Arabidopsis thaliana: one gene and its partners. The protein of the gene in region 1 interacts with the protein of each later gene in a pairwise test. Each region holds a gene or a part of one and is shown on either strand. Other genes may lie near its edges.

The links.
Region 2: the proteins of NAC061 (region 1) and RVE2 interact in a two-hybrid assay, tested with the Arabidopsis thaliana proteins (one large-scale study listed by BioGRID).
Region 3: the proteins of NAC061 (region 1) and AT2G46160 interact in a two-hybrid assay, tested with the Arabidopsis thaliana proteins (one large-scale study listed by BioGRID).
Region 4: the proteins of NAC061 (region 1) and AT1G61660 interact in a two-hybrid assay, tested with the Arabidopsis thaliana proteins (one large-scale study listed by BioGRID).

Annotation. Positions count from the first base shown.
Region 1 is NC_003074.8:16,020,344-16,028,186, reverse strand, and holds NAC061 (NAC domain containing protein 61), read left to right. Parts: upstream 1-3,667; 5' UTR 3,668-3,699; coding exon 3,700-3,856; intron 3,857-4,210; coding exon 4,211-4,494; coding exon of another isoform or gene 4,495-4,536; exon of another isoform or gene 4,537-4,725; intron 4,726-5,066; coding exon 5,067-5,351; 3' UTR 5,352-5,612; downstream 5,613-7,843.
Region 2 is NC_003076.8:14,749,367-14,756,900, reverse strand, and holds RVE2 (Homeodomain-like superfamily protein), read left to right. Parts: upstream 1-3,812; 5' UTR 3,813-3,928; coding exon 3,929-3,940; intron 3,941-4,400; coding exon 4,401-4,463; intron 4,464-4,552; coding exon 4,553-4,664; intron 4,665-4,795; coding exon 4,796-4,857; intron 4,858-4,942; coding exon 4,943-5,557; downstream 5,558-7,534. Other genes in the region: AT5G37250 (RING/U-box superfamily protein), read right to left, coding at 5,930-6,556. UniProt on the Arabidopsis thaliana protein: Positive regulator for cold-responsive gene expression and cold tolerance. Part of a regulatory feedback loop that controls a subset of the circadian outputs and modulates the central oscillator. Negatively self-regulates its own expression.
Region 3 is NC_003071.7:18,959,239-18,966,362, reverse strand, and holds AT2G46160 (RING/U-box superfamily protein), read right to left. Parts: upstream 3,281-7,124; 5' UTR 3,255-3,280; coding exon 2,610-3,254; 3' UTR 2,574-2,609; exon of another isoform or gene 2,078-2,573; intron 1,968-2,077; 3' UTR 1,674-1,967; downstream 1-1,673. Other genes in the region: AT2G46170 (Reticulon family protein), read right to left, coding at 1-57, 155-335, 752-953; AT2G46150 (Late embryogenesis abundant (LEA) hydroxyproline-rich glycoprotein family), read right to left, coding at 4,274-4,939; AT2G46140 (Late embryogenesis abundant protein), read right to left, coding at 6,001-6,250, 6,950-7,124.
Region 4 is NC_003070.9:22,750,821-22,759,139, forward strand, and holds AT1G61660 (basic helix-loop-helix (bHLH) DNA-binding superfamily protein), read right to left. Parts: upstream 5,552-8,319; 5' UTR 5,352-5,551; coding exon 5,029-5,351; intron 4,909-5,028; coding exon 4,500-4,908; intron 4,404-4,499; coding exon 4,296-4,403; intron 4,210-4,295; coding exon 4,144-4,209; coding exon of another isoform or gene 4,060-4,143; exon of another isoform or gene 4,015-4,059; coding exon 3,949-4,014; intron 3,855-3,948; coding exon 3,801-3,854; coding exon of another isoform or gene 3,783-3,800; exon of another isoform or gene 3,702-3,782; coding exon 3,550-3,701; coding exon of another isoform or gene 3,546-3,549; exon of another isoform or gene 3,187-3,545; coding exon 3,183-3,186; 3' UTR 2,791-3,182; downstream 1-2,790.

The DNA of each region.
Region 1 (7,843 bases):
GGTCTCCGCAATCAAAAGCGAAAGACAGTTTCCGAGAAAATTTCTGCGGTTGTCTTACATGAAAACATGTAAATTATCATTTCCACACAACTCTTTTTATTATTATTATTATTATTATTATTTATTTTTTTTTTTTCACAACTTACTTTGTGCAATAATGAAATCAAAATCGGGCATGACTATTTTACATGTACTTGATGCAACTTTTTGTCTGTTCTTTTCTCTAAACTCACTTCCCATTTGTAAAGACCTAAACGAATCTTACATTGTTTAAGACCTAAACTGCATTAATGATGAACTTGATTTTTTTTTTTTTTGTGTAACATATATCCACATAAATCCTATATGGTGCGACTAGGAGACTTCTTACATGTATAGAAATAATTAGCGTATCATACATTACTGACGCCTTTTGTTAAATAATTTGTATGTTCCGAGTAAAACTACAATCAAGAAAAAAAATCATGGATCTACATGAAAGATAAAATAATAAAGTTATTTACGGCGCATGCATGAAACTTTAAAGTTCGATATACACTTGGACCAATTAGTCTTACGTTCACTACTTGTGCATATGTTTGAACACTCACCACTTTTACTGATTTATGAATATGTGAACTTGAGGACATAATGAACCCACTTGATATGAACTTGTAGCTTCCTATTTTTTCTTTACTCTGAGTCTATTTAAGCAAGAGCCACATTGCTTAGGTTTATCCACTCCATCGTAAATAGGATGATTTTACTACTTTCTTATATGTCATAAATTATATTGATAATTGTTTGGGTCAATATAATAATAAACCCTATGATTATACTAACCCTAGTCTCAATGTAACTTAAAATTCGGATTAAATTAATATCATTACCATTCTCAAACATAAAATAAAAATATTTAATTTGTTTAATACCTAAAATATTATTTTTGTTTCATGCATATATAGCAGGAACCATCCTTTAGTCTTACTATTATAATTCTTAATAATTAACAAATAATAAGATTTACAAAGATATTATAATCGTATGCGATATTAAATTTGGTTTTTGAATTTTTTTCCCTTTTAATATATATATATATATATATATATATATATATGTCGAGAAATGGTCTGCAAAATGTTTATGGCTAATATATATATATATATTTCTGTCGAGAAATGGTCTGCAATATGTTTATGGCTCTTTAACAAAAAAAATATGTTTATGGCTAACTGTACATATTTTTTCTTTTTTCTTTTCAATGTACATCTTGGTTGACTATTTATGTATCTAAGAAGTCTTTTTTTTGGATGCATATATATATATAAGAAGTCTACGAGAAAATTTATTGAGCGGCATGATAAAACCATCAATTTCACTAGGAAAGAGTCTTGTGTGGACTAATACGAAGGAACTATATAAATTCATCGAGTAAAAGTTTGAGATTCATTACGTCAGAGCTGATGTCAAAACAAAACAAAAAGCTCGTTATAGCTCATATATATCTAACTTATTTTCATTTTTTCATATATATACTTTCATCTATCCAATGTTTAAAAGATCAAATATTTATTGAGAGGAACCAACTATTTTCTAAAGCATTTTGGATTAGTGAAAACCCGAAAAAACAAACAAAAAATAGATCATATTGCAGACCATTTTTCTACAGAAATACGAACCCTTTTTTAAATATTTGATTATAGTAGTGCTTTCCGAAAATTTTGTGATGTTCTAACATTACTATAAACCCCATGACTAATCGGAAACACTATATATTAAGAAAATCATGGAACTGCTTGAAAGATTGATTTACTACACAAGCATGAAACCTTAAAAATTTTCAACCAATAAATATTTATACAACTAAATTTATTGTATACATATAAAGTACACAAGTATGAGGTCTTGTGGACCAATTAGTCTTAACGTTCACTGCTCGTGGAATGTTTGACACTTGCACTTAAGTTATTGGGGTTTCTTTTTTCTTTCTTTCGATACCATTTAGTTATTTTTTTAATTCACTACTTGTACGGTATCACCTGTTAATTGAAACTTTTCAACCGATTTATTATCTTTTGTTCACTCTTGGATTAATGTTCAGAAGACCGCACCAACACTTATATCTCACCTTGCCTTGTCTCTTGACTTCTTGGTTCATACTTCCTTCCAAAACTTGTCTTGTTCGTGGAAGCCTTTTGGCACAAAGTTATGTCGATTTTTGTTGTTGTTATGGTCCACTCCAACAATAAATCTGTTAAATAAGAAATATTTTTGACAATATAAATTAAATAACAAGATATTTTTACAATAGCTTTTTTTTTATTAATGGTGTCAATTTGGATTTGGAGCTCATAGGGCCTAATCCATTTACCAAGAACTATTGAATTTTTCTATTAAAAAATAGTTGTTCATACAGAAATTTGGTTAACCACATTCTCTTGAACTCTATAAGACTAAAATTAAATCATAGAACTCTAAATTCGGACACTAACCCTTAAAACTTAAAAAATCTTAAAACCGAAAGTAAAAACTATGAATTATTTATTCGATTTGAAAAGATTATTATATTGGCATCAGTTTATTATTTCTACACAATATTATTCTTATATTTTACTTCACACTAAAAATCATTGATTAATCAACTACTATTCAATTCAGGCATATTTAAATTATTCGAATAATGTCTTCAACTCTCAAATTTTTTTAATTCTGAATAGGTATGTGGATAATCATGCATGTTTGTATCACACAATACATATTTTGGTTTGCCTATTATTTTTCTCGTAGACTTGTTTAATATGCGACATGATAAAACAATTGTGTCGCATAAAACAATTAACAATCTCTTTCTCTATAAAAGGCGAAAGAAATTTCTTAAACCATAAATTTGAGACTAATAGCTGATTTCAAACAAAGAAACGTCATAGCTGATGTAAAAAAACAGTACCTCCACATCCCAATGTGTCAATGTGATACCCCGCCTAACGACTCCGTACAACTAAAATGGTAGTAGTATTAATTTCCTTTAATGTTTTTTTTAGCTTAAGTAGCTTCGGCGGATTGTATTAATCCACAACATCTAAAACTAAATGCCACTAGAATGGATGATTTATGCTTTGAACTTCAATAATATATATAGCTCATCCAAACCTAAAATGTAGTAGACCAAATGATCGAAATTCAGCAAAAATCACTTGAAGATGATTTTACCTCGTTTCAAATTGTAAAATGTAAGATCAAATATATGCAATATTGATATTTACTTTACTTCATTTATCCATATATTTTTAGTAAAAAAAAACTGTAAAATCAAATATATTTATATGATTTATTATTTTCTACGTTTCTACGAAAAACAGACATTCATTGAGGTAACAAAAAAATAGGAGGATATAATAAAGAATATTAGAAGAAGACTAGTAAGAATAAACCTTGACTTATTCAATGATAAAGTACGTGGTTTGTGAAAAGCACTCACTGTCTCACGTATAGATGATAGAAATGGCACGAAATTATCACAAAGATGGGCCCGTGTCCAATTCCCCAACAAAATATGAAAAGACAAGTAATAATACATGAACAAAAAACTAAAGTCCAAACGCGTAAAACTTTTCTCATTTCACTCGGAGAAAACTAATCTCTACTTGCACCTATTTAAACTCATCATGAGTCCATGTGGTTTCACTTTATTCAAGAAGCAAATTTGTAACACACCAAAAAATGGGAGAAGAGCTTTCTGTAGGGTTTCGGTTCTATCCGACCGAAGTAGAGCTCCTTACGTATTACCTAAGAATCCAGCTTGGTGGAGGAAATGCCACCATTCATAGTCTCATACCGATCCTCGATGTGTTTAGCGTTGAGCCTACTCAGCTTCCAAGTACGTATGCAATCATTAGCTATATAAATAATGTCGATGATATATTTGTCGTATATATGTGTAGTCTTTCACTGTAGAGTTTTCCTTCTTGCGTTTCTTGAGTAGAGTAACGTGACTAACGTTATCTTGAGATTGTATGCATGAGATTTAGGTTTGTGTTTCTTGATTTCGTGGTTAATTATAAGTTACAAAAAAAAACTTTACAAACAATCACATTTCTAAAATTAAACAATTTCATTTTCGACAAAGTTTAACTTTACATGTAATTAAGGAAAACGTATACACATAAACTGAGGATTTACACAAAAAAAATTGAGAGGTGTGTTATTGGTTTGTGTGTTTTTTTGTTTGTAGATCTTGCGGGAGAGAGGTGTCGAGGAGATGCAGAACAATGGATTTTCTTTGTGCCAAGACAAGAGCGTGAAGCTAGAGGAGGCAGACCAAGTAGGACCACTGGTTCAGGATACTGGAAAGCAACTGGTTCACCTGGACCCGTGTTCTCGCCGGATAACCGAGTGATCGGAGTAAAGAAGACGATGGTTTTCTATACCGGAAAAGCACCTACTGGGAGAAAGACAAAGTGGAAGATGAATGAATATAAAGCAGTTGAAACAGCCAGTGTATCTACCATCCCAAAGGTGCATAATCACTTCTTTAAAATGAAGACTTTCATCAAATAATTTTTCTCAAATATACCAAATTCTATTTGTGGGATTCCAATATAAAAATAACTGATGTCTCAACACCTTTTTGGACAAGCATGTGCAGTGAACTAGCAGAATAATCTTTAATACAATTATTACAAACAGAGATTATTAAAAACGAATCACCCTTTGATTCATGTCAAAAATCTTTATCATGGTTATTTTATATCTCACATATATAATCTTGTCTTACATATATCGTTGTTTTCAAAAGTTATATATGTGGTAAAAGAGTGTGCGAAAAATTACATGTGTTTTTAAGTATTTGAAACTATCCAATTAAATATCATGCATACATAAATGATAAAAACCAAAATATTCATGCATGCATTCTTTTGTCTATTGGTTATATATTAGAGTTATAGAATTTCTACCATCCCTATTAGGGATTCCCTAAGATGCATAATGTTATAATATCTAAGTTACTGATAATATTTTAGTAAAACAATAGTTAAGCTTTCATTATCAAAACAGGTTCTAACGAAGTTTGTTCCTATTCAATATAGTTGAGGCCCGAATTCAGTATCTGTCGAATCTACATAAAGTCAGGAAGCTCGAGAGCCTTTGACAGACGTCCCACAGAAGCTTATGCGATAGAGAGAAATCTTCCTAGCAATGGAGTTGAGACATCATCTCGTGCCACAATATCAACCTCACCAGAAACTTCACATTCAGGAGGAAACCAAGTTGATTTACCGGTGAATGCTACTACTATTACACAAAGCATCTCAGATATGGTTGATGAGCTATCGCAACCTTTTTGGGAGTGGGAACAAATGAATTGGTCTTAAACGTATTAATTTACTTCTTATGTTCATTTGTTACTAAATATACAATAGAAGATAAGAAAAAAAAAGAACAAGTCGTCAGATTTGTGGCAACTTTTGTTCTTTTCAGTCGCCAACTAGTAGTATATGACCACGACATTTTTAAGCCTAACCTGATTATTAGGCTAAGCTTGAAGATTCATTATTTTTCACGCAAGTCTTTTTTCCTTTATTTTCATGTGTACCTTTTTTTTTTTTTTTGCTTTTTGTTTTGAATGAGTAGAGAATTTTTGAAAGGTTAGTTCTACTTGATCATGGAAGATATTTAGATTACTTTGCATGTATTATTCTTAAAAAAAAAAAAAAAATCGATAGAAATTAGCTTCAATCAATTAGATCAGTCTCACATTCAATATAAATCCGCCGACACTTATTGCACTTTCTTTATTTCCATTTTAGTATTGTATGTGTGATCATTTTAACTCTCACCATCTGTTTTAGAGGTGTTCTTATATATATAGAGATGTGATCTCTCATTAGATCGACACAAAAAGACAAGGATGACTGAATGAGTATAAGCATCTCAACCGGGTCATGTCTTTGATCACGTTGAAGCTCTTTGTTAGTCGTTCAAACTTCTGTCCACGAAATAAAAACTGTAAAACAATTCTTAGATTTTTTTTCATTATGTTTGCAATATAGAAAGAACACATGAGACAAGAAAACATTTTTTTTTAAATTAATTTATTGAGTGAGGTGTACATATTTTGAAATATGGCTTATGCTTTATCGATGGTGCAAATTACTCTTACAAAAAATAAGGTCAAGTGCTTAGGGATGTCAGTTAGGTTGTCCACGTCTAATTCGTTTTTCTGGAAATTAATGATTAAAGTTTTATTGAAAATTCTATGTAAACTGATTGTTTTATCAATATCATAAATTAATAATTATAAAAGTTCATCGTCAATCAACATTTCTATAAATTATAAACTAATTTTTATCTAACAAATGATCCATTTTAATTTCATATACTCTATTTTTTTGTTTAGGAAAAACACACATATTAAAGTAAATTTAAAAATGACAATTTTAATTAATCTTGAATTATTAAAATTTTATTTAATAAAATTATAAATCTGATAAACATACGCAAAAAAGAAGAAAGGCAGGTATGGGTTATTTTTGTATTTATGTATCCATTTCCCATGTGTAAGATCCCCATGCATTTACAACAATTATTCTTGTCAACATCGTCAGCATTATTAACAAATTCTACACACTTCTACGTTGGTTCAATTACTCACGTAAACTTTTTTAAAAAACTAAAATTTGGAGCCAAATTTTTTAGAAATCTACTCCAATTTTGTTTACCGGCAAAACTAGTATGTTTTGTTTAATCAAATGGCTATATATATTCTCAATAATTGAATTGAGTTTGGAAGCTTGTTCAAGTCGAATTGATGATTTACTTTAGAATGATCTCCATGAATTGGTTGAACAATTTCCACCATTTCTATGTCGTCGTTAATCTCATGAAACTTGTTCAAATCGAATTCATGTTTAACTTTGAAATTGTTAACATGAAAACCTTCTTCCGTCTTCATCTTGTTTTGAAAATATTTTTTTTTTTCTAACATCAACATGAAGCTTTATTAGAGTGATGATGTGTAATCCTCATGGAGGATTTGTACAAGAAAAGTTGGTACATAAGAATGAGATACATAAGAAACATTGCCATTATAATGAGCTTTAGCTAGGCGATCGGCTGCCTTATTGCTTGTTCTGGTTGACCATTGAATGTTTTGACCATTGCCATTATTGCTTGTTTTGAAAATATTTTATGAATTTGAAAAAAACAGATCAAAAAGAATTTTGAGTCAAAGAGAGGAAAATAAGAAAAAACAATCAATAGCTGGAATAATAAGATGAAGAAACGTTAATCATGGAAGCAAAGAGAATAAACGTAACAAGAGGAAGATGATGAAAAAAAAACTTGTGATGATCAAAATAGCATTCGTTTTTCCACATATACTCTATAAAACAATCAAGATAATAGTTATGTGAATTAACATTTTGTTTCATTTAGTGCTGATTTCGCGTAAACCTAAGCATCAAAATAAAATTCTTCATATTCTTAATTTATTTTATTCTAATAAATTTGAAAACAAATACAAAGAATAAAGAAAGATATAATAGGAAATATAAAGGTATTTATGCATAGAAATTAGGAAAAGATCAATCTTTTTGAAGCAAATTTTTTTCCTAGAAAATCAAATAAAAAGGAACAGAGAGAATAGAATTTTTCTAATTTTGTTATGAAATCAAGTTAAATACAAAATAGAAATGATATGTTAAATTCTAATTGGATAGACTATGTCATACTTTCCCTTTACATGATATACTTTCCTTTTCATTATATAACCGAACTTAAACCGAACAAATAACATGAGAACCGGACTAAAATTAACCAAAAAAGTAGACGAGCGTCCGGTTCTATTATAACCGGATCTATATCA
Region 2 (7,534 bases), on another chromosome or scaffold:
GTCTGTCTAGTGTTTGCTTCAGCAAGTCTTCTAGCGCTTGGTTCTGTCCCAGGAGTTTTGTGTAAGAAGAATCTTGAGTGATTAAGAATTTAAGAGCCGAGTTCTGAATGCGGAAAGAAACTGAAACTCTTTTCTCATTCATCTCAAAAGGAGCCAATCAAAATCAGCAATGCTTGTTTCCTTAACATTACATATGAATCTCATGTGTTTGCATGAACATGCTTGTCAAGAAACACCTTAGCCAAGTTACTAAAGCTTACACAGACTGATTCAGCAACTGCGTACCTCTCCATAAGATCCACCACTTCTGGCCTCAAAATATCCTCTCTTATTGCTCTGTTATAGTCACACATGTAATACACGGTGGAGCCGATTAAGATGAGACGGCGAGGCTCGGCGTCGAGAAACAAAATGATAAGCGAGCGTTGGGCCTTACAAAGCCCATTAATATGAGACACCGAGGCGGCAAGTAGCAAAATTTGTTAACCCAAAACGCTAACAAGATTGGGCCCATTAAGATCGTATACTAATCTTACATCAATAAGCATTGTTTAATCTTGTCACGATGAATTCTCAATCATTCCACTTTCATTTTTGATTTGACTTTTAGATATTAAAGAAGAAGAAAAAAAAAACCTTTCAACGACTATACACTTAGGGTCAATTCTCAATTTCCCATATAGATATTTGTTCGTCCATAAGTTTAGATTGTTGAAAGAACTCTCACTTGCACCGACTGTTCTTTATAGTAATCAAATAGTCGTCGGTTAATAATGAAAAAGTATATATTTCGATTTTTCTTTAAAAAAAGCAACAAAAATACATGAACCAAGAACTTCTTAGTGGCCACTACACCAGTATTTTACTGGTACAAGTATTTTTCTAAGAATATTATAGATTCGTAAGATCTACAAAAAAATGTAGCGATTGAAGAAAAAAAAAACATGAACTCGATAGCTTAAAACACCGAAAAAAAACGAGTGGGCAACAAATTTTTGGTAATAAAAAAATAATCGAGTGGCGTAGAATAACAAACCATCCATATCCCTATCCTTCTCTCTATTACCTAAACACAACGACACGTGTCTGACTTTTGGAACATCTCAGAGGACAACACTTTTGTGCTGACTAGGCAATAAAGTGCAAAACAAAAGTGTTGTTTTTTTTCTCCTCTTTCATTTTGAGACAGTTGTACCAAACAATTTCTAATTTGGATAAATGGTTTTTTTTTTCATTGAAGACTTCCAGATATTTATTTTACAATTTTTGTCCTTCACATAAAATACCTATTTAATTTTGTTTTGAAGTTGACGGCTACTGAAATTTAAATATCTCTTTCTTCTTTTTAAACAACGCTCGTGTATGTTTTTATTTAGCTACTCGCTTTCTTTGCCACATACTTGGGTCAAAAGAGAGCACTCCAAAAATATATGATCTGTCATTTGAAACCTAACTATTCCTGATAAGTCTAGGTTCATAGTCTAAAGTTCTTGGCCCTCATTTAGGTATAAATAGTCTAAATTTAAAGTATTTAAGCAAAAACAATACTGAGAAGAAAAAAAAAAAAAAAAAAAAAACTACGGTAAAATTTCTAGAAATGTTTAAGAAAAATCTAACTAAAATCAAAAGAATAGCGTATTAAAATACTAATTTTATTGGATTAACTTAATTTGATGAAAATGTCTCTTAATATTTATGGCGATATGTATGTTGGTTGGACTTTGAAATTGTTTTTATAGATTTAATAAGATGAACATTTTGTTCTTGCTTGAGAGTGGCTGGGTACACAATTTTTTTCACTTTGTTCATGCTAAAATTCAGTTTTGTCTTCTTATATTTACATCTAAGTTTATGTTTGATTATCTGAAACCCAAATTATCAAGTATTTTACGATTTTTTGAAATAAACGAAATCTGTTTATTTCCTTATTCAAATTTTATAAAATTTTGTAAGAGTGATTTGATTGAAAATGGACAACATTTGGAGACATTTTCAAAAAAAAATGTTATAAAAGGTTATTTTAAAATGCTTTCAAAAATATCAATATAATAAAGAGCGTGATTATATTTTAATTCAGAATTATTTAAGTGATCGAAAATATCATAAATTTTGTATAATTAGAGCATTTGTTCTGATATGCGACATATTTTACTATAATTTTATAGGAACCATATAAATTTAATTTTTTAACTAATTCCAGTTGCACATTTGTTTAGATGAAAATGATTTGATTGCTGCATGATATAATTTATTTACATTTAAGCATATATTTTATTCTATTTTGATGAATTGTGTGGTATTTTCGTACTTAAATTTTGATATATTGTATGTAATTGTACAACATACTCAATCATATGTTATTACTTCTAATAATTTGAATATGGACATACTCAGAAAGGTATCAAGGGCTCTTTCTCTAGCTATTGTTTCTCATATAATCTTTTCAAAATCATATATCATCACCAACTATACTCATCATTCTCGGGTACTATGAGCTCTAACTAGTGGAATGGTACTAGAACTTTGACACACCGTCTAGTTGAGATTATAGAAATTAAAGATTATGTTATATATAGTAGAAACAAAGTAGGCCAAATTCTTATAGAAAAGAATAAACAAAATTAATATAAAAGATAAATGAAAAAACGGTCTTGAATTATAAACAATTTGCTAGGTGTGATTCAACATTGTCTTTATTCAATACTTGTTGGGTCATAAACATTCAAATTGCATATTATTGTTACTCTAGTATTCAAATTGCATATTATGTTTTATCTAAACTAACTTATATATTTATTTTGATAAACATGTCATATGATATTAAACTTATTTTCAATTGATCATCTTCTAAGTTGATGCATTTTAGTATTTTATATTCAAATTTTGAGATCTTAGTATGTAATATATTTTCAGGTTTTTACTATTCATCAGTTTGATGATGCAAATATACATAGTACGAATAAAATGAGTGAAATTGTTTAATTATATGATCAGGAAGAAAAAATAATATTCCAAAATCCAAATTTTAGTGGGTAATTCTTAGCACAAAAACAAATTTTGTTTCCAAATATATCACATATTTTTCAATGTTCCACAAATAGCATTAATTGTTGAAATTTGTTATGAATAAGAATATGTTCTATAACATTATATGAATTAGAATTATCAATAGATAAAGTGTGTCAACTCAAATCGCTAAATTGTTGAAAACAATTTAATAATATATTCATTTAATATATTCTCATGTCAATATGATATGATTAGATCTATTTAGTGAGATCTTATTTAATTGTTAATTCTAATAAAACAAAAATAGTGATTATATTACTAATAAATAATATAATTGTTTAATCTTATTTTATGGAACTGTATTTCTCAACTTCAATTAAATACTGTACCTAAACCTAAAATTAAATATGCAATCAACTTGATTAATAAAAAACAACAAAATGGGGTAAGAAGTAAACAACGTTGTTAAACAAGACACGCGCTCACCAGTCGCGAGTTTGGCAATAATCATGAAATGAGCTTCTTTAAAAAAACTTTCTAGTAGATAAATTAAACAATTAAAAATCTCCGACAAGATTTAACAAAGAACAGATAATATCTTCTCCGCAAAGACAAAAGTGAAAGCGAAGAAGAAATCCTCCACGTGTCATTAGCATCTTTTAACCTGAGCCACATGATACTAGTTTCTCGAAACCCCTCTTTACGCTTTTTCACCCAAATTTTTATAAAAAGAAAAACATTATGCTTACGTGGCTTATCTTCTTCTTGCTCTTTTAAAGTAACCCCTTGACTCTGCTCCTTTCATAAACAACAACTCTCTCACCAATCTCAAAACAATTCTCTCTCTCTTTATTCTTCTTCTTCAGCTTCAGATTTCAGATCTTAAATCTTCAAGTCTTCTTCTTCTTCTTCTGCAACCATGGCTATGCAGGTTTGAGATCTATCTTCTTTGTTATTCTTTATGCAATCTTGATCTTGGTTTTGTTACTGTTGTTATGTTTCAAGTCTTGTGGAATCCAGACAGATTTAACCTAAACTTAGGTTTATGTCCGAGAGAAAATAGGTTATTTTGTTATCTAATTTCAAGTTTAATCTCTTTGTCTGAGAGAACTTGGAACTGAAGATTATTCGATTGTGGCAGGTTAAAAATTGTGTTAATAGACCAGGCGATTATGTGGGATATTATGGTCGGTTGTTTTAAAGAGAGATTACTTCTTTCTTAATGTATTGATCCGTATTAGGTAAGAACATGTCTCTAATCCCCTAATTATTACTGGTGGTCTACCTCTTCTAGTTGCGTATTAATTAGTTTTATTAGACTCTTTGTAACATTTAATTACTCTTACAATATATTAAGAGACTAATTGTGTTTTCTTACTTTGTGATTATAGGAACGTTGTGAGAGTTTATGTTCTGATGAACTTATATCTTCCTCAGATGCCTTTTACCTCAAGGTACTAATTTTGTTTCTTAATCTCTTGTTTACTCTTGATTGGTTTTGAACTTAAATATGAGGTTAATTTAGGGTTTGTTTTGTTTATAGACAAGAAAGCCTTATACCATCACTAAACAAAGAGAGAAATGGACAGAAGCAGAGCATGAGAAGTTTGTAGAAGCATTGAAACTCTATGGCAGAGCTTGGAGACGAATCGAAGGTGTGTGTGCTTATCTGACTTTAGAGAGTCTAATGCACATTCTAATCTAAGTTTGATGAAGATATAAGAAAACTACTTGGACCCTAGTAATGAGTAGAGATCTGACTTTTGTTGGTTCTTCTATGGAACAGAACATGTTGGAACAAAAACTGCAGTTCAGATTCGAAGCCATGCGCAGAAGTTCTTTACTAAGGTTTGCCTTCTTGCAGACCCTTATACATGAAAAAGTTTCAACCTCTTCGTGTTAAGCAAGGTCTAATTCAAGTTTTTCTTATTAGGTTGCTCGCGATTTTGGTGTTAGCTCTGAGTCCATTGAGATCCCGCCTCCAAGGCCAAAGAGAAAGCCGATGCATCCTTACCCTAGAAAGCTTGTGATTCCTGATGCAAAAGAGATGGTATACGCTGAACTAACCGGATCCAAGCTGATTCAGGATGAAGATAACCGATCTCCAACATCGGTTTTATCAGCTCATGGCTCAGATGGATTAGGTTCCATTGGTTCAAATTCACCTAACTCTTCTTCAGCTGAGTTATCATCTCACACAGAGGAATCATTGTCTCTAGAAGCAGAGACCAAACAGAGCCTTAAGCTCTTTGGAAAAACTTTTGTAGTTGGTGATTACAACTCTTCAATGAGTTGTGATGATTCTGAAGATGGCAAGAAGAAGCTATACTCAGAAACACAGTCTCTTCAATGTTCTTCTTCTACTTCAGAAAACGCTGAAACAGAAGTGGTAGTGTCGGAGTTCAAAAGAAGTGAGAGATCAGCTTTCTCTCAGTTAAAATCGTCGGTGACTGAGATGAACAACATGAGAGGGTTCATGCCTTACAAAAAGAGAGTAAAGGTGGAAGAAAACATTGACAATGTAAAATTATCATATCCTTTGTGGTGAAGTGTTCGTTTGTGTCAAGTCAGTTGTGTAAACTCTTTTGATCTCAACATCAGATTATGTGTATAATGTCAGAGTATTAGGGAAAGTTTTTTTGGATTAGATTCGTAAGATCACTCCAAAGTTTCGTGTCTTTCCATATAACCAGTTAGAAATTGAGATCCTTGTACTTAAACATTTTTATTTGATCAATCAAATCTTCTTGATAACTCTAAATTGTTGTACATAATAGTAGTCTCTATCAAGCATTTCATTCGAAAGGATTAACAAAAAAGATTAGGTTTACAAAAAATACATCAAAAGCAAATGTTTGAAACATAGAAACAAGTAATGCATCATAAACCCTAAGACTAGCTTCAAGTCTCTGTGACGGTTTCACTCTGTTTCAAGATCTTCCTCGTACGGTACTCGTCGACACAAAGGACACGACCTCTGACGCTTAAGCCACTCAAAGATACAATTTTGATGGAACAAATGGAAACAGTCAGGTAACAGAATGATGTTATCATCATGACTCTCCGAAAAGTCCTCCAAACAAATCGAACAAGTGGTTTCTTCTTCATCTCCCAAATCAGTCAATTCCATTGTTTGTTCCTCAAGCAATCTTTGAAACGTATCTGTCGACCTAACAGCAATAGACGAGAACATAACATCTCTTGTCACTTCCACGTATAAGGACACACTAAAAGGTTGGGGAATATGAGCACAATCCAAAACGATCCTTTCGCTCAACAATCGACAAAACTCAGTATGTGTGATGAACTCGTCAAGGTCTTGATAGATGTGATGTGAACTGAGACATGATGGTTTCAATTCGATTTTAGTCATAAGTGGAGCCGCGAACGTTCCCAAACACATTACGACACCGTTTTGATCTTCAGCTAACTCGTTGACCACATCTTGTAGATTGACGAACACGGTGTTTCTAAACCCTTGATCTTGTGGTAGGATCATTGCTGTTGTAGTAATCTTTACGGACACCAAATTACTATATGTATTCATGGTGGAAGAAGAAGAAGAAAAAGAAGATTCAAAGCCTAACTTTTGATATGAAGAGATAAGATTGTGAAATCAAAGAGAAGAGATCGATGAAATTGACTTAAAGTGAGGCTGAGTGAATTAATATATATATAGAGAGATATTTTACGTTTCGACGCTTCAGTTGGAAAAAAGGAAATCATAAACAAATTTGTTGACGAAAAAGGAAATTAAGGAAAGGAAAACTTTGACCAAAAAAGAAAAGAAAAGGAAAACATGAATTTAGTAAAAATAAAAATAAAAAGGAAACAATCAGTTTTTTGATAAAAAGGAAATTTAGATTAACAAAACGCGTCAAATTTTTTATTTAATTTTAATTAACTAAAGTCAGATAACAAATCAGACCGTTCCACATTATTTCGCAACATTACTTATACTAGATGAATTTCCATTACGCTTGGATTTGTTTTAAAAATTGTTAATAAAAATATGTTAATTGTTTTTATCGCTAATTTATATTTATTTTTTATTTATTATTGTATAACTAATAGAATTAGACTCATAATAGTATTTATGTTTCGACAGTTGTTCCAAATACCACCACCTCAGTGATAATTTAAGTGAGTGTATATTCAATGTTATATATATCGATATTGTGAACTTCAGTTGTATCTAATGTTTTCATTTTTTAATTTCCGTATAGGTTATACATGATGATGGTTTTGTATCCTATTTATGGTACTTGTCCCTTGGTAAACATTTACTGATGTTGTTTGAAACACATATAAAAATAAATTGGTTATGATGTTGTCCCGTGGTAAGCAATGTCTGTTTGAATATTTATAGAGCTTATAGTAGTGAAAGCTTGTAATCCCATAAGCTGGGAGTGTGAATATGTTTTAGTGAAATAAATTGTGCATCTATTTAAAAGACAGTTACGGCTGCTTGTTCCTTGATTCAGTTCTGTGTAGCTTCTACTGTGGCATCCATTCTGGCAGTTAC
Region 3 (7,124 bases), on another chromosome or scaffold:
GCAACCACAAGGAAAGCCTCCTCGGGAACATGGATTTCTGGAATTTGTGGTGAAGTCCTGCAAAAATGAAAAAAGAAGGTTTTAAGACCATTTAAACCAGACAAAGAACAAACATCTAGGGCGGGGTTAACATGATCAAGGGTTTGAATCTTACTTGTTGATAAGTGTGTGAGCATTGGACCACAAAAAGAGGCCTCCAAGAGCGAGTATCGAAATGTGACACAAAAGACTCAACAAATGATACTCAACCAGCTCGAACAGAACCCAAATAGCAGTCGCGACACCAAGAACAGCACCTGATAGTTTTTTATCCCTCCACAAGAACACATCAGCAGCTGCAAAGAGTCATTGAGAAACAGAAAAATCAGAATCCCTCAGAACTCAGAAGTCAATAACATAATAAACCAATAAAGCCAATTTATTGCATTCATACAAAAATTGGTGTAACAAAATTTCCACAAGTTGCAAAATTAGAGAAACGTAAATGTCTTCAATCTAATCAACCAACTTAAGAACTCTCCCTATTCAAAAACATTATCCCTAAAGTTCAAGTCTTCTTTTGGATGCCCAAATCTTAATGGATCGATTCAAGAAAATGCAATTATGTAATCATCACCAAGCGATCTTATACGAGTGTAACTAGACCCTAACATTGCAGATCAAGCATCAACGCATGTTCCAAATCGATCAAACCAGAGAAAAAAATGATAGAAAAAGAAAAGACGAGACACTGAATATATAAAACCCTTACGCTTTCCACCACCGAGAACCTTGTGAACAGGCTTCTCTCTGCCAAACATACGATAGATCTTCGCCTTCACAGCCGAAGGAGAATCAGGTTTCTCGTACTCGGATTCAGACGATGACGACGAATCGTGATGGTGAATCTTCTCGGAGATCTTCTCCATCAGAGATTCCTCTGTCGGCACAGATTTTTCAATTTCTTCCGCCATTGATTTTTGAAATTCAATTTCTTCGATTCCCCAAAATTCAACACAGAAAACTCAAAAATATCTCAACGTGAAGGAGAGGAGAGGATTAAGCAATGGCAAATATAATAGGTTTCACACAAGACTTTTATAACCACGAGCCTGAGGTTCCAAAACCCGAACGTCGTGGTTCGGAGTTAATTTTTAAATAAGGTCATCAACGGCGTTAGTATTTTGATGACGAAAACGGACGTTAATTGACGGAGAAGCAGAGCCTTGAAACGTGTAGGCAACGATAAGGAAGAAAACGTTGAATGGTGCCTTTTCATTAAGTAACCGATACCACGAGTAGATTCACGACACGTGTCCCATATCGTATAGCGAAATTTACGGCTCAAACTTAATTATGATGAAGCATTAAAGCTCACGACGTAATTTCGCTTGTATCCCCTTAAGAGGGCCTTCTATAATGTTTGCCTTTGGGCTTTTAATATATTACTGGGCCGTCAAAAAAATAAAAATACAAGCTCACGACGTAACTCTCTCTTTAAGTAAGCGGCTTTGATAGGTCGAGTTATTTTAAGTTTTAACATGTATTAATCTACTACTGCTTTTTTTATTATTCAGATGTAATGTAATAATGCTAAACTCTATTACATTCCGTAGGTGATATACATCTAATTATGTATCCTATATACAAGTTGCTAGAAAGAGAATAAATCAAAATCAAAGCGAGGTTAATTACTTAATTACAAAAACATATTACCACTACGCTCCACAGGATAGTGCCGTGTAGGAAAAAGCGAATTTGTGGACTAGTGTAAGTCAAATAACACATTCGCATTTCATTATGACTATATATTGACTAACCATAATTTTCAAATGTATTAATATAAAGTGTTCACACCAACCAACCTTCCTTAGGATTCGTGTGACTAACGTGCGCCTTACGAAAAATATAACAGTTTTCGGCTATCATCGAACCAGAAACATCCAGGTCACGTAGAAGAAATGCAGAATTGCTTGAAGGCAACGCTTCTTCAAACATAGGTATGTTGTGATCGGTTAGTTTGAAACAAAAATCACATGTGATATATATAAACAAAAACATTTTATCTATAAAAATGTTAATTTCATTTAGAAAAGTTGTCCTAGAGTACACTTTAACTCGACCAACATTTGGACCTACGAGTTTACGACGTTGAATTCATCTTCTGTACTCGCTATGCAATAAAAAAAACTATACTATCTTAAGTCGTAACTCTTTTTGTTCCCAACTTTAGAAACATCTATTTCCGACATTCAACAAATCTAATATTTTAACTAAACTTAGTTTCCGACCCTTGACCAAAAAACAACAAAAAACTAAAAGTAAGTTGCCTTGTTCAAACTCAAACTCTTTTATTTAAGTTACACAACACGGACGCGTATTTTATTTTGAACCGCTCATATTGATAGGGGAAACGGAAAAAAACGTTCAAAAACGCCAATAGAAAAGGATAAATTTTGTAAGGTTAGTAAACGATTCAAACTAGATTTCATTTCGATGAAATTAATGGCAAACTCCACTTTTGACGGATTTTTTTTAATTACAAATCAGTAAAGTTGTAATGAAACGGAGCAAAAATAATAAATAGGAATTACCCTAATTTAGGCGAATGGATCTATGTAATAATAATATCATCTTCTTGCTCTCCTCCGATCGGCCGCGTACTGGGAGAGAGGCACAACTTCTGACAAAGGCGTTGACAGAGGCGTTGAAGTCGGCGTTGGAAGCGGCGAGTTCCGACAAACGGGACAAGATCCGTTGAGTTTAAGCCACGCATCAAGGCAACACAAATGGAAGTAGTGTTTACACTCCGGCATCATCCTCAGCATCTCCGCTTCTTTATACTCACATAAACAGATCGAGCACGTTGTGTCTCCTCCGCCACCAAAGCCATCTGAGGACGCGGCGGAGGTATCTTTGGAAAAGTGGAACTTAGGGTATGAGTTGATGACGGCTTGATCAAGTCCCACCACGACATCACCTGCTTCGAGATCTTCATTGTCTTCCTCGGCGACAAAGATTATGCGGGGGAGGATTACACTTCCGCCACGATCGCCTGTGGATTCCACGGCGGTTGTGCGGCGGCGAGAGTCACGGCAACAGATGTATGAGGATAAAAGGACGGTCGAGAGAAGGACGAGAAAACCGAGAGCTATGGCTATGGAGTAGCCAAAGCCTAGAGTTGTGAGGTAAGAGTGGTTGCCTGCTTGTGGTGGCGACGGTGGAAGGGGAGGGTGGACTAGGAAGACGGAGGCGGAGGAGGCGAGTGTTGACATTTGATGGTAAAGAAGAAGAAGACTGGGTCCATGTGGGAGAGAGAGAGAAGAGAGTGATAGAGATTTTTATTTTTTTATTTTTTTGAAAATTTAATTTTAATTAATTTAGTTAGGGGAAGAGAAAAAGAGGTGGGTGGGAATTGCAGCTGATGCATTTAATATTGTTTGGAAACTGAAATTTGCATTTATTAGTAAGTTAGGTTTTTATTAATTAAGTGGCCCAACCCCAAGGAATAATATATTTTCTTGTTTTACTTTGTAATTTTTTTTGTTTATTGTATAAAATGTGTTCGAGCCATGTAACGTTGACTGTTTAACAATATTCGTTTGATGGGTCCTCTTTGAAAATATTTTACACTTATTCGTTGTCATGTTTCGTTGATATTCGTTTTGGTTACATTTGAGTAATTCAAGGCTTCCCACTACAATTTACTAAACACTCTTGGCTCGGGGTTCGTACTAACTAAGGACCCGAGGTTTGAAAAACTGATAATGGTCACGATTAATGAGTATGTAAACTAATCACGAAGATCGTAGGAAAACGATGTATTTCTTGTATCTAGATCATACAAAATTACAACTAAAGCAAACAATGGGTTATGGTTAAACTAGCAAAATTGTATGAATGAAATTGTTAAATCGACCAGTTAGCCAACGCGTACTAACTAATCTACAACGAGTCGGTTTAGTACATATGATCCAAAGATTTTAATACGTTAATGGATTAGTCATCGGTCAATTTTTGGAACGTTGATATTATTTATTTAACGTAGACTTTATGTTCACTCCATTCAAAATCTGATCAACTGTACAAAAACAAATTTTGCAAGAAGAAGAAAACATAAAGAAACACATCTATTGCATCGTGCTGATAATCAAATGACCCAAATTTTTTAAAAAACAACTAGAACAAGTAGATAGTGTTTTTTGTTGGTTTTGTCACGAAAGTTTCTAATCCGCATATCTCACGTTGTCTAAAAAAAAAAAAACGTTAATCGATCGATCGTATGACGTATACCTCAAAGATCGATTTTTTTCTTGCAGTCAACATCTTGAATCGCCTGTCCCGTAATGTTCACAGCCATCGTGCAATTCATCTTAACGGTCACGTGCTTCTTCACGATCCCCATAATCTTCACCTTACCACCAACCCTAGTGTAACTCCACACGTTCACAAGACCCGACCTACTTATTTCTCGACCCAAACCCGGATCCGATAATATCCGATCAAGCATAATATCAACCGTCACGTTCATCCTCGAAGTCCGATGCGGTCTCGCCTTCCCCGGTAGCCCATGCGCTTCACCCACCAACGTTCCTTTGTAGTATATATCCGTCGTGGTGTTGGAGTACTTAAACGACGCCGTATTCGGATTCTTGACCGATACGTCAACGATCATCGAGATGTTTGTCCCCAACAGTTGGACTTGATTAGTCCCCGTGACTGAATCTAGGCCGTTGACCATTACGCCGTTCATTTTTATGATCGGGTCTTTGACTCTGAACACCGTGAAAACTAAAGTCAACACGATCGTGGTTAGAATTAGAGATGTTGCAGTGACGCAGATTGAGCATTTGATTCTGTTTCTACTACGGTGTGTGTTCTTGATGTTGGAGGCGGATTCATCGCTCACCGGAAGTATGGTCGCCGGAGCTAGCGGCCGTACATGTTCAGAATCTGCCATGGTGGTTTTTTTTCGGTCTTTATCTGATTAATTACTTCTGGTTTATGTGATTTATATAAACCAAACTTAGTGATGGAAAGTGTTGAATTTTATATGTCCTGCCTGTGTTTCATGTGCAATCAATTCTTTAAATGAAAACCCAAAATAAATTTTAAAAAGTAAAAGAAAAATTAATGTAATTGTCCTAACCACTAACACAACTGGGGTCAATTATTGCAGTGGAAAAATGGGAATGGTATTAAATTGAGTCTGAATTTAACGGTCATATAGGTGGAAGAAAAGTAGAAGCTGCGTATCGGTGGGGATGCCGATTTGCGCCAATTAGAATTTGCCAGCTCATTACACAAATTTGACTTTTGCGTCAACGTCAGAGGATTCTTTCGAGAAAGATAAAAAGAAAAAGGAAGTATAACGTCGTATAGAATCGTTCCCACCTGGAAACTATTTTTAGATAAATAGGGTTCAATTTCATCAATTTATGTACATTGTTTTGGTTTTAATGTATTTTGAATGTATACAAGACACAACTTTGTGTTTGAGTCTTCCACAATCATTTAAACAGCTGTTTTCTAGTTCAATAATTTGAAAGAATATTGACAGATTATTTGGATTTTTAACACTAAATGCATTAGTTTTAGTTAGTTCAACATTCCAGTTTGCTCCTAAATAATCTTTCGCAATTATATTTAGCTGGAGACAACCATCTTTTTTCATACACAAACTTATGTTTATTAGTTTTTTTTTTTGTTTATAAACTTTTTTTTACATTTGACTTGCGGAATAGTAGTGGAGTGTATTCATTTTCATATGGGATAATATATGGTTCAAATCTCTCGACATTCAGGAAACAGATTTTTCTACGCATAGCAGGTAAATAAAGATAAATCACACACACAATTGAAAAACATACATAATTAATAACCAATAAAATCCTTGTTGAAATCAACAAAATAAAAAAAGGATTCCAGAAATGTATTAATCTCCGATCGTCTATGTTTATGGATCGTACATTATTGAAAATTAGATTATGATTTAAGAAAACTATATTTGAAATAAGGTAATTAAAAGAAGTCGCGAAGGGAAGGGAGCTTGATCTCTCCCTGAGTAGAGACAGGAATGGTGATATCACCAACAACAGGAATGTCGAAGGTTAGCCCAATGTCTAGTTGATAGTCAATGTCCCAGTCCGTACACATATCCTTCATCAGACTAACCGCTATGCTATAAGCCACCTTAACCGGTACGTCCAGAACCGTCGTGCCGCTCCCAACCAACGAACCCGGGTCCGGTATCGTGCCTGACGCGATCGTCCTACGCATGCCACAAACATTATTAATCAGCACATGATGAATGTACGTTACACCTATACATGGCGTGTGCATAACGTTACATAAAAAGTACTGTTATGAAAATGTTATCTAAGCTTAAATCCTCAAAATACAAAAGCTGAGACCATCTATATAGCTTTGTGCCTTTGTTTCCTTGATAACACGTGTTATTAGTAATGTCATATTATGTATACAGTAGACTTGTGTAAATATATACATTAGGATTGATATAAGATGCTAGATATCATCAATGCACATGGATAATGAAATTAGTATATGTATGTATATATAATGCGGCACAATGCGATAAAAATACAATTAGTGAGAAAATGAGATCTAGCCATTTCGGTGATGAGACCAGACAAATTACCAACGAAATCCATACACATATATATTAAATACTGTTATCAATTAAAAATAGTCAAACATTAGATCGGATATACCTAATTGATACACATTTCTATTCATTAGTACAAAGATCGGATACACTTAACGAAAAATATCACATATATATTTTTCATATTCTCAAAATTTAGATGATCAAAATATGTGTCACAAATTCTATTTATCTTAGGCTAGATCCGGAATACGGATACTATCATGATATGTGTGTAATAAAAAGTGCACAATACGGTGTTAGAGTAGATCAGACGGTACAAGAAGAAAAAAAAGAGAAGATGACCTTGTGGCACTCTTGAGGATGTAAGAGATCTGGCAGATAGGGATGGATTGAGAGTAAGGATTCTTGACGGAGACCTTGGCGTGATAATCTACTCCATCACGTGTCACGCCTTTGAAATCAACGTCGTCCACGGTTGCTTCCGGCGTCGGAATATTCGCCAGCTTCTCCGCAAAGA
Region 4 (8,319 bases), on another chromosome or scaffold:
ATGTATCCTAAGGCAATCCCGACTGGAACAGCAACAACATGCCACTTTCCACAATCTTCATCTTCTCCCAAACTCTAGCCTTTCTTCCCTTAGTCCTCATTTCCTCTTCATGAATTGATTTGGGATCCTTAATCTACCGATACTAATACACCATGTACCTACATTGAGGAACATTGTATGCACCAGCAGCCATTATGCCTCATCTTGCTTGGTAATTCTTGTTTACAAGACGAGCTACAACATAACGACCAACAAATCTTTCCATGAAACCTAAAAGATTTACAACGTTCTCCATCAAGACGTATTTGGGCTTCAAGTATAGTCTATGATATTCATGAAACCGTCACTTCATTGTTTTTTTTCATCTTGAAGTGGTTTATCTTTATTTCTAAATCGGTGTAAAACCACTAAGTCCCTGGCATGGAAGACCCCCACATACAAGATGCACATATTCCTAAAAGAACGACACAAGGTCGAAAAGTTACGAAAAGTGGGGAACAAGAAATATTTGGAGGATTTACATGTGTAATTAACATGACTTAGCTTACAAGAAGTGGCAATAAATTTGACTTGAAACCCTTCGTTACGAATTCCTTAAGTTTTTATTTGTATTTTCTAATGAAACCATATACAGATTAGAGGACAACATGAGAAGGCCAAAGCAGTAATTTAAAAAACCTTACCCCAATCCATCATACGGCTCCCAAGTATCTTCTTCTGATTTGTATTCCTTCTAATACACCTAAAAATGATGTAACATAAGAGAAAGTTGATATATAGTTAATCCCATGCATGATGACTAGCATTTAAAAAGAGGACTCTTATAAACAATATACGTGCTGATTGTCTTGCAAAAAAGGCAATAGCACGAGGTTTTATCTTTTTCATGTAAGCTCTTTTATTTTGGACTGATTTTTTTCCAAAGAAAACCGTACAGTTCTAGTTTAAATAGATAATTTTATTTTACCGTTCATATAAAAAAAAAGCCAAAAATAAAGTAATTTTACCAATGTTATCTTTGTAACACTATGTCACAATTTAAAGGTTACTTCTGTGATTCTAAATATATTGGGAACAATTAACAAACTTCATAAACTATATGAGCAATTTCATTCGAATGTTTTATGGAAAAAAACCTTCACGTAAAAGATTTTCAAAAGAAAATCTGTAAATGATATCAATATATAAAGGATATCAATATAAAACGGATATATTTTGATTCATGATAGTAGAGAATATATAAACTCTTTGGAGGAAAATAAGCCGTGTGTCTTTGTGATACTCGGAAACTTAAACAATATTAGAATCAATGTGATTTATTTATAGAAAAAGGAATAAGGCTTTTAAGCTTCAATCAAACGAAGCTTATAGCTGAAGATATTAAGAACTTGTTGTATTCACATAAAGCAAAAAAGATGAAACTTGTTCGTCCTTTATTGTACATCTAAAAGACTAAAAATTTATGCTCATAATGTTTTCTTTTGCCTTTTATATTCATATTACATTATACATGATCCTCCTTTCTTTTGGCGCATGGCATATTTTGTCAAACTCTATTACAACATTGATTCTAATCGATCTACAGTTGAAACTAGTGAATCGAATTTTCAGGTAGAAGTTAAATTTGATTTGAAATGTACTCAAGTTTATGCTATCTTTCTCATATAATATCCAATATTTTAGACTAGTTATATGTTGTTTATGTCGAAGATTGTTATTTGTTAGGTACGAAAAATTTATATGAGCCACCACATATATAGTTGTAATCGACCATTTTCTGTAATTTATTGGTTAAGATTTAAGAAGACTAGAAGAGGGACCGATGTCACTAGATTCACAAACTTAGCAACTTAAATTTACATGAATCCAAGTTACATATTAAACCAATGACAAGAGCCGAAGCACCTCATGAATCCAAAAAATCTACGTAGGACGGTAACTTTTGTTGATCCTGAGACAAAGGATATAGCCGAATATGAGTTGCAACCAAATCTTAACTTCTCTCTATCAACGACGATAATCTTAGTTGCAACATGAAAAACATTCATAAACAAACATTTGCCGGTTCTCCTTTAGTCGCGGAATGATCTCTTTCCAATGGCCAGAGACATGTTGTGGTAATCAAGCCTAGTACTTCTTTAATTTATGGTTCCGAGAACCATATTTGAATGTGTAGATTCACCGTTCCATACGTTCACTTTCGACCTTAACTCCATTTTCACTTTTTAGAATCTTGAATCCTGACTCCATGCTATGTTCTTTTAATTTGTTTGTACTTTGGAGAAAACCAACATTAATTTCCAATAGGGCATAATTTGAGATTTTGTTTTTTAATAATAAATACGTACTAATCATGCATGGGACTTGTTGAGTATTTTATCGATATTGAGATCTAAGGTAAGAATTCTGTTCTTGCATTGCATATATTTTTGAGTGGCATTTGATAGATTAGACACACATATATGTCTTTATAGTAACATATGAATAATCTTTTTTCTGTAAACATAAATGATGTTGAATGCAAATCAGTATATATTTATCGGTATCTATACTAAAATCATATATGTATATTCAAATCATAAAGTAGGAAGCAGTGTGGGCCGCTATTCTACTGGCTTCCACTACTGAATTTCCATAATATATAGTTCTTAATCGAACCAACAAAAAGTTGAATCCATATGGACACATATTTATACATGGATATGTACGAACATAAATACATGCATGTATCCAGAAAATGTGCAAGTTTGCAAGTTTGGACATAAATGTAACTATGTAAGAGTAACGGCACTATCACAAACAATTAGGTTATAAGTGTTGGTTTTGTGATTGTTAAAATTAAAATTTATGATTAAACATGAAAAAAACAACTCTATAAAAACAACAAAGAACTTCATATGACAAACCACCAATTATTATGTTCTCTAACTTTAATAAGTGATTAACAAAGATGTTACCAACGACAAAAATATGTATATATATATATTCAAGAACAATGACAGGAACAAAAGGTTATTCAACATAAAAACAACCCATATATGCTAAATTCAGCAATAAACCCCCCTTAAAATATTGAAAGAAGAAGAAAATACATTAAAAATTATTGTTATGCTTTAGAGTCTCCAAGCTGAATTTAGCATATGTTCCCATCCGTCTTGACAACCACAACCCTCTCTCTTTAATCACCTATATATAATTAAAAAGTGAAATTTAGGTTAATTATTACATATATAACATGAGAGTATGTAAGTTAATGTTTTTAAAAATATATCTATCTATTAGTTTATGATAGATTATTATCCCAAATTTTCTAAGCCCTAAATCATTCTTGCTTTCGTAGTTGGTCCCCTCCAACACTATTGTTGCCTCTGCCCACCTTTGAAGAGTCACCTTCTTCTTCTCCCATCTCTACTTTTTCTCCAAGTAATGATTCAATCTTTGATCATGACTTGTGAATTTTATTTTCTTTTATTTTTATGCTAAGCATTATTAAATAATATCTTAATGCTAATTAAGAACCGTATGATATACGTAATTCACCTTCTCTACCTGAAATTGTTGCCCCCAAACGTTGGTGTCCAAAAATCGGCTGTTGTTTCGTTAGCCACCGGAAACGTGCTTGATATTGGGACGAGACATAGACCATGTCCTCTTAGTTCGTGATTCTCATTTTCATCTTGACTCTTCGATTTACCAGATATCTACATGAATCCATACTGAAATTAGTACTTATTTAACCATGATTATAGCACGAAGACTCCAACTTGGACAAAACTAAAACACTAGATCGTGTATTGAACCTGCTGTTGTTGTTGGTTCGAGGCACCTTGTTTCATGTATGGAGTGCTTAGAACCTGTATTTAAAAAACATTAATATGCTTAAAAATTTGCTCATTTCTAGGGTTTTATGAATTCAGTGAGTTAGGAGAGAAATCACAAGAAACGTACAGTGACTTGGTCGTGAAGGAACTTGATGTACTCTATAGCTTCTTGGAGAACAGATGCAGTATCTGTCTGAAGTTTAACCCAAAGATATACAAAATAAACAAACTAAGAAGCTCAATACATAACCAAGGGAAAATAAATGCTTTTGGTTGTATATATTAAGCCATATAAAATAAAGTAAACACATAAATCATTCACCTTTCCGAAAGGTGAAACTAGTTGTTGTAATGAAGTTATCTGGTCCCTTAGATTCTCTTTTCTCACCTGTTACATATACAATCCATTTTATCCACCAAGAAATTGAATTAAAATAAAAGGTCTTAAACAAATCTTGAAATATGATCATGTACCTTGAAAGTTGGCAACGGTGAAGGCGTGGTGACTCTCGGTTTCTTCGCCGCAGATTCATTATCCTTTGCTCTCTTCAAAGACTCACTCTGAGCTCTTGTCTTCAGATTCTTCTCAACAAAAATAAATAAATAAATAAATTCAATAATATAGCCACAAAACTTATATAGTAGCAAAATTATTTTGACATATATGAGATAATTTACCTTGGTTTTGTCCTCCAAACGAGTAGATATTATCTGCGGAGTGGTTACAAAATTGCTCGGCGTCGTGTTGTTTAAGTTAGTGGTTGATGAAGAATTCCAAAAGGGTCGAGAGTTTGCGTTGTTAGAGAAGCTGTTAATTAGTCCATAAGCTACTTGATGATGAGGATTTGTCTTATTAGCCCAAGAAAGTTGAGGATCGTTGATTGAACCACTTGTGGTGGAGACAAAGTTGTATGGACTTGGTTCGGGATCGTAAAAGGTTCGTATCAAGCTTGAGGACGAAGAAGTTGATGGAGATGAAGAACAAGCTGGATTAAGTATATAAGGTGAAGTAGTTGTGGATAAGAATCCTTGGCCATGATCTTGATCTTGTGAGCTCCTTATGAAGCTTGAGTTTAAGTCTTCTTGTCTGAAAAATACAAAACAAGAACAAAAGAGATCTCATGATTATTATTAAAAATCTTCAATCTTGTTCATCAAGAAAGTGAACAAAAAAAATTAAGTTAGGGTTTTTCTTTAAGAAGTTTACAAAATGGTTTGGTTCCAATCTGAAGAACAATTTGAGGAAAACCCTAGACCCATCATCTGCAACGTCGAGTCCATCGTCACGGTACTTCCTCCACTGTCAGAATCCGCCTCTCGCTGCCCGAAAACGATGTTGTTGTTGTCCGTACAAGTCATCCTAGATTTGAGATGATTCTCTTGCGAGCTAAAATCATTGGAAGTGATAGCCGCTCCGAAGCATGGTGACAAGAAATGATCCGAAGGAGACATAACGCTCCTTGGCGAGTTCCACCACGCGCCACCTCCGCCACCACAAATCGATGCCGTAGCTTTAAACTCCTCCGCCATATTAAGAGAATCAGAAAGTTTTAGTATAAGCTTTCTACTAGATCGTTGCTATACGAAGGTTAAAGTTTTTATATATATGAGTTTGTTGTATGTGATATGAAGAGCATAAGTGTAAAATTTTGATATATGTTTATGAGGGTGTGTATGTTTATATAGGCAAGTACGGACAAGTGTGTGGAAATTACCGGAATTTAGTTGACATTTGAAGACAAAAACTTATATCATCATAACATTCCTATGTGATTTTTTTAATTAAATAATCTTGATTTTAAATTTTTTCCTTAAGCTAAATATTTTATTTGACAGAAAGATGTTGTAATAATAGTGTTCCTAATCCCTCAATTTTCTTCTATTATTATAAGAACAACTGTCTTTGTGAGATTTGTTTCTTTGCTGCTTAGCTTTTCGAAGAAGTGATAATGATCCTCATTTTATAAATATTTAAATATTTAATTTGAGATTAGATAGGTGTTTGGTACTATTATGCAAGATGCCAAAAGGGGATACTATTTATATATAGACATTATATCTAACGGTAACCTTTGATTGGTTGCCATCAAATTCTACAAATCGATCGTTTATATTAAGTGGTCAGAAATAGAAAACATATCACGATTTTGATTAAATCAGTTTTTAGTAATTGTATAGACAAAACACGAAAATGACTGATTATAGTCTACGCATGCGTATATATATAAATGTACATAAATATGAAAGACTAAAATTTTGAAACTTGATATTTTTTTATTACTTTCATGCTTCCATACATGATTTTTATCAGATCACTTTAGTAAGCTTAGGAAAAAAAAAAACTAATTAGTCTATGCAAGCGTATTAATAATTGTTTTATTATTTTGGTAATTATAAACGACTAACCAATTTTTGAACAACGTTTCTTCTAATTAATTATCCATACTTTCATACAGTAATGATTATCTTGAAGTTAAAATATATGTTTTCTCAATCGCATTTGCTAAAAAAAACTTTAAAACATATATCTTCAAGGATTAGACTCACTTATTTTCAAAAGTAATATTCAAAGATTCTTTCGAGATAAAAGTTGAGTCCTAGGCTAGCTCGTTCAGGTTTGAGTTTTCAGTACTTGGGAGGGATATTTATACTTTAACAGGTATTACTATTACTAAAAATTAGTTTTAGATCGAAAAAGCGATCATAGGAATTTTTATTTTTTTAATAGACGATCAATTGTTTTTAGCTCGATTGGAAAACGCAAAATTAATGGCAAAACCTAGAGTTAGCACTTGATATGAGTTCGATATTTATTTCATTGTCGATCGGATTCTTTCGGTTAAAAATAGTACTATAAAATAAGATTTGTTCTTGTGGCTTGAGGCTAAAGGGATAAATGGTATATGATGACGATCGTCGATCGATGCTGAGTTTCGATCTGTGTGTCACGTCACCGTTTCTGGACCTATTGTGTTTGTGACTTTTTTCACAATCTCTTTATACCAAACGGTCCTTATTCTTTTCAACTAGCTTTTTCTAAATTCCGTAAATATTTTATTCTTCTAATAAATTTGATAAGTCAATCAATTATTGCACTTTAATTACAAGTCATTGTTTTGTTTTTCTTCTTTCTCTTAATTCTTTTTCCATTTTATGTGATAGACTGATAGCCACACAAAATATCAAAAAATGGATTTGTTGAACCTGATAATAGTAACCAGTTCTGTTCTTTATGATCATTATACGGCTCGAGGCATAGTGAACCGGGCTGTGTCACCGTCCATAAAATATACAAGTTTTATCAAACGATAGGCATAGATAATAAACATAATTTCACCGATATCCATGTATATAATATTTATATATCTATCTCCTTTCAAAATAAAAAAAAAAATTGGACATATTCTAAGCTAAATTGTGCTAGTATCGTTATTACGAAATTCAAATTTACGTTATGTATCTTGACAAAAAAAAAATTGTTATGAATGCTTGAAGAATGGTATTTTTACGTTACATGTAATACAAAAAAGACACTAATCATTTATGGTAGTCCAATGATTCAAAAATATATTTTGTAATTGGGAGACCATTGTTCATGGTTAGTAGAAGTGAAAGTCTTAAATGTATTCGGCAAAAAAAAAAAAATATCAAATGAAACTCGTAGATTTTTATTGTTCATGGCTATTCGAATTGTGAAAAGTCTTAAATGGTAAAAATATGACACAAAAATATCAAATGAAACTGGTAATATTTTATTGGATAATGGCTATTGAGGACAAATGAAGACTATAAAGGCCCCAATTTATCTAATTATTATTAAAATATTAATTAAGAACTAATTGAATTTTTTTCTTAATGGTCTCTCTATGCGACACAATGCATTTTGACTTAAAACTTAAAAGAGCTTTGAAGCACTGAAATACAGAGACAGTTAGGTCAGATCCATGCGACTGACTAGTAAGTTTTCATCGTGCAATTAAAATTAATTTTAATATAAACTAAGAAAGTGTCAAAACAAATTTGATCAATTTGCTTAAGCCCACCAGTCCACTCCGCCAAAAATGAAAAAAATAATAATTCATTATTGCAACGTGACTAACTTTTTATTTATTTATGAAAACACTTGTTTCGTTTAGGTTGATATCGATAAAATAAAAGTTATGAAATGAACGTCAAAAGAATGTGTCACAGCCACCGTATGACAACATAAGTTAAATCCGAAGAATCTTTGTCAGCCCATCGGTTGTTTTCTCTAACGGTCTGGTCGATCCCATCGATATGTACACCGACACTCCTCTAAGCTCTTGTCGGTCGATATTTGGATTTTATTATTATCGGACACATATGCTAAATTTTATAGTCCCCAATCTTATTCAGCTTTCTTCCATTTTCTGTTTAGTATATTCATGGTGGCAACATATATAGTTGAATCAACGACTAGTTTTGAAATATACCGCTTTTCACAATGCAAGTATACGAACACTTTCGGATGTTGGAG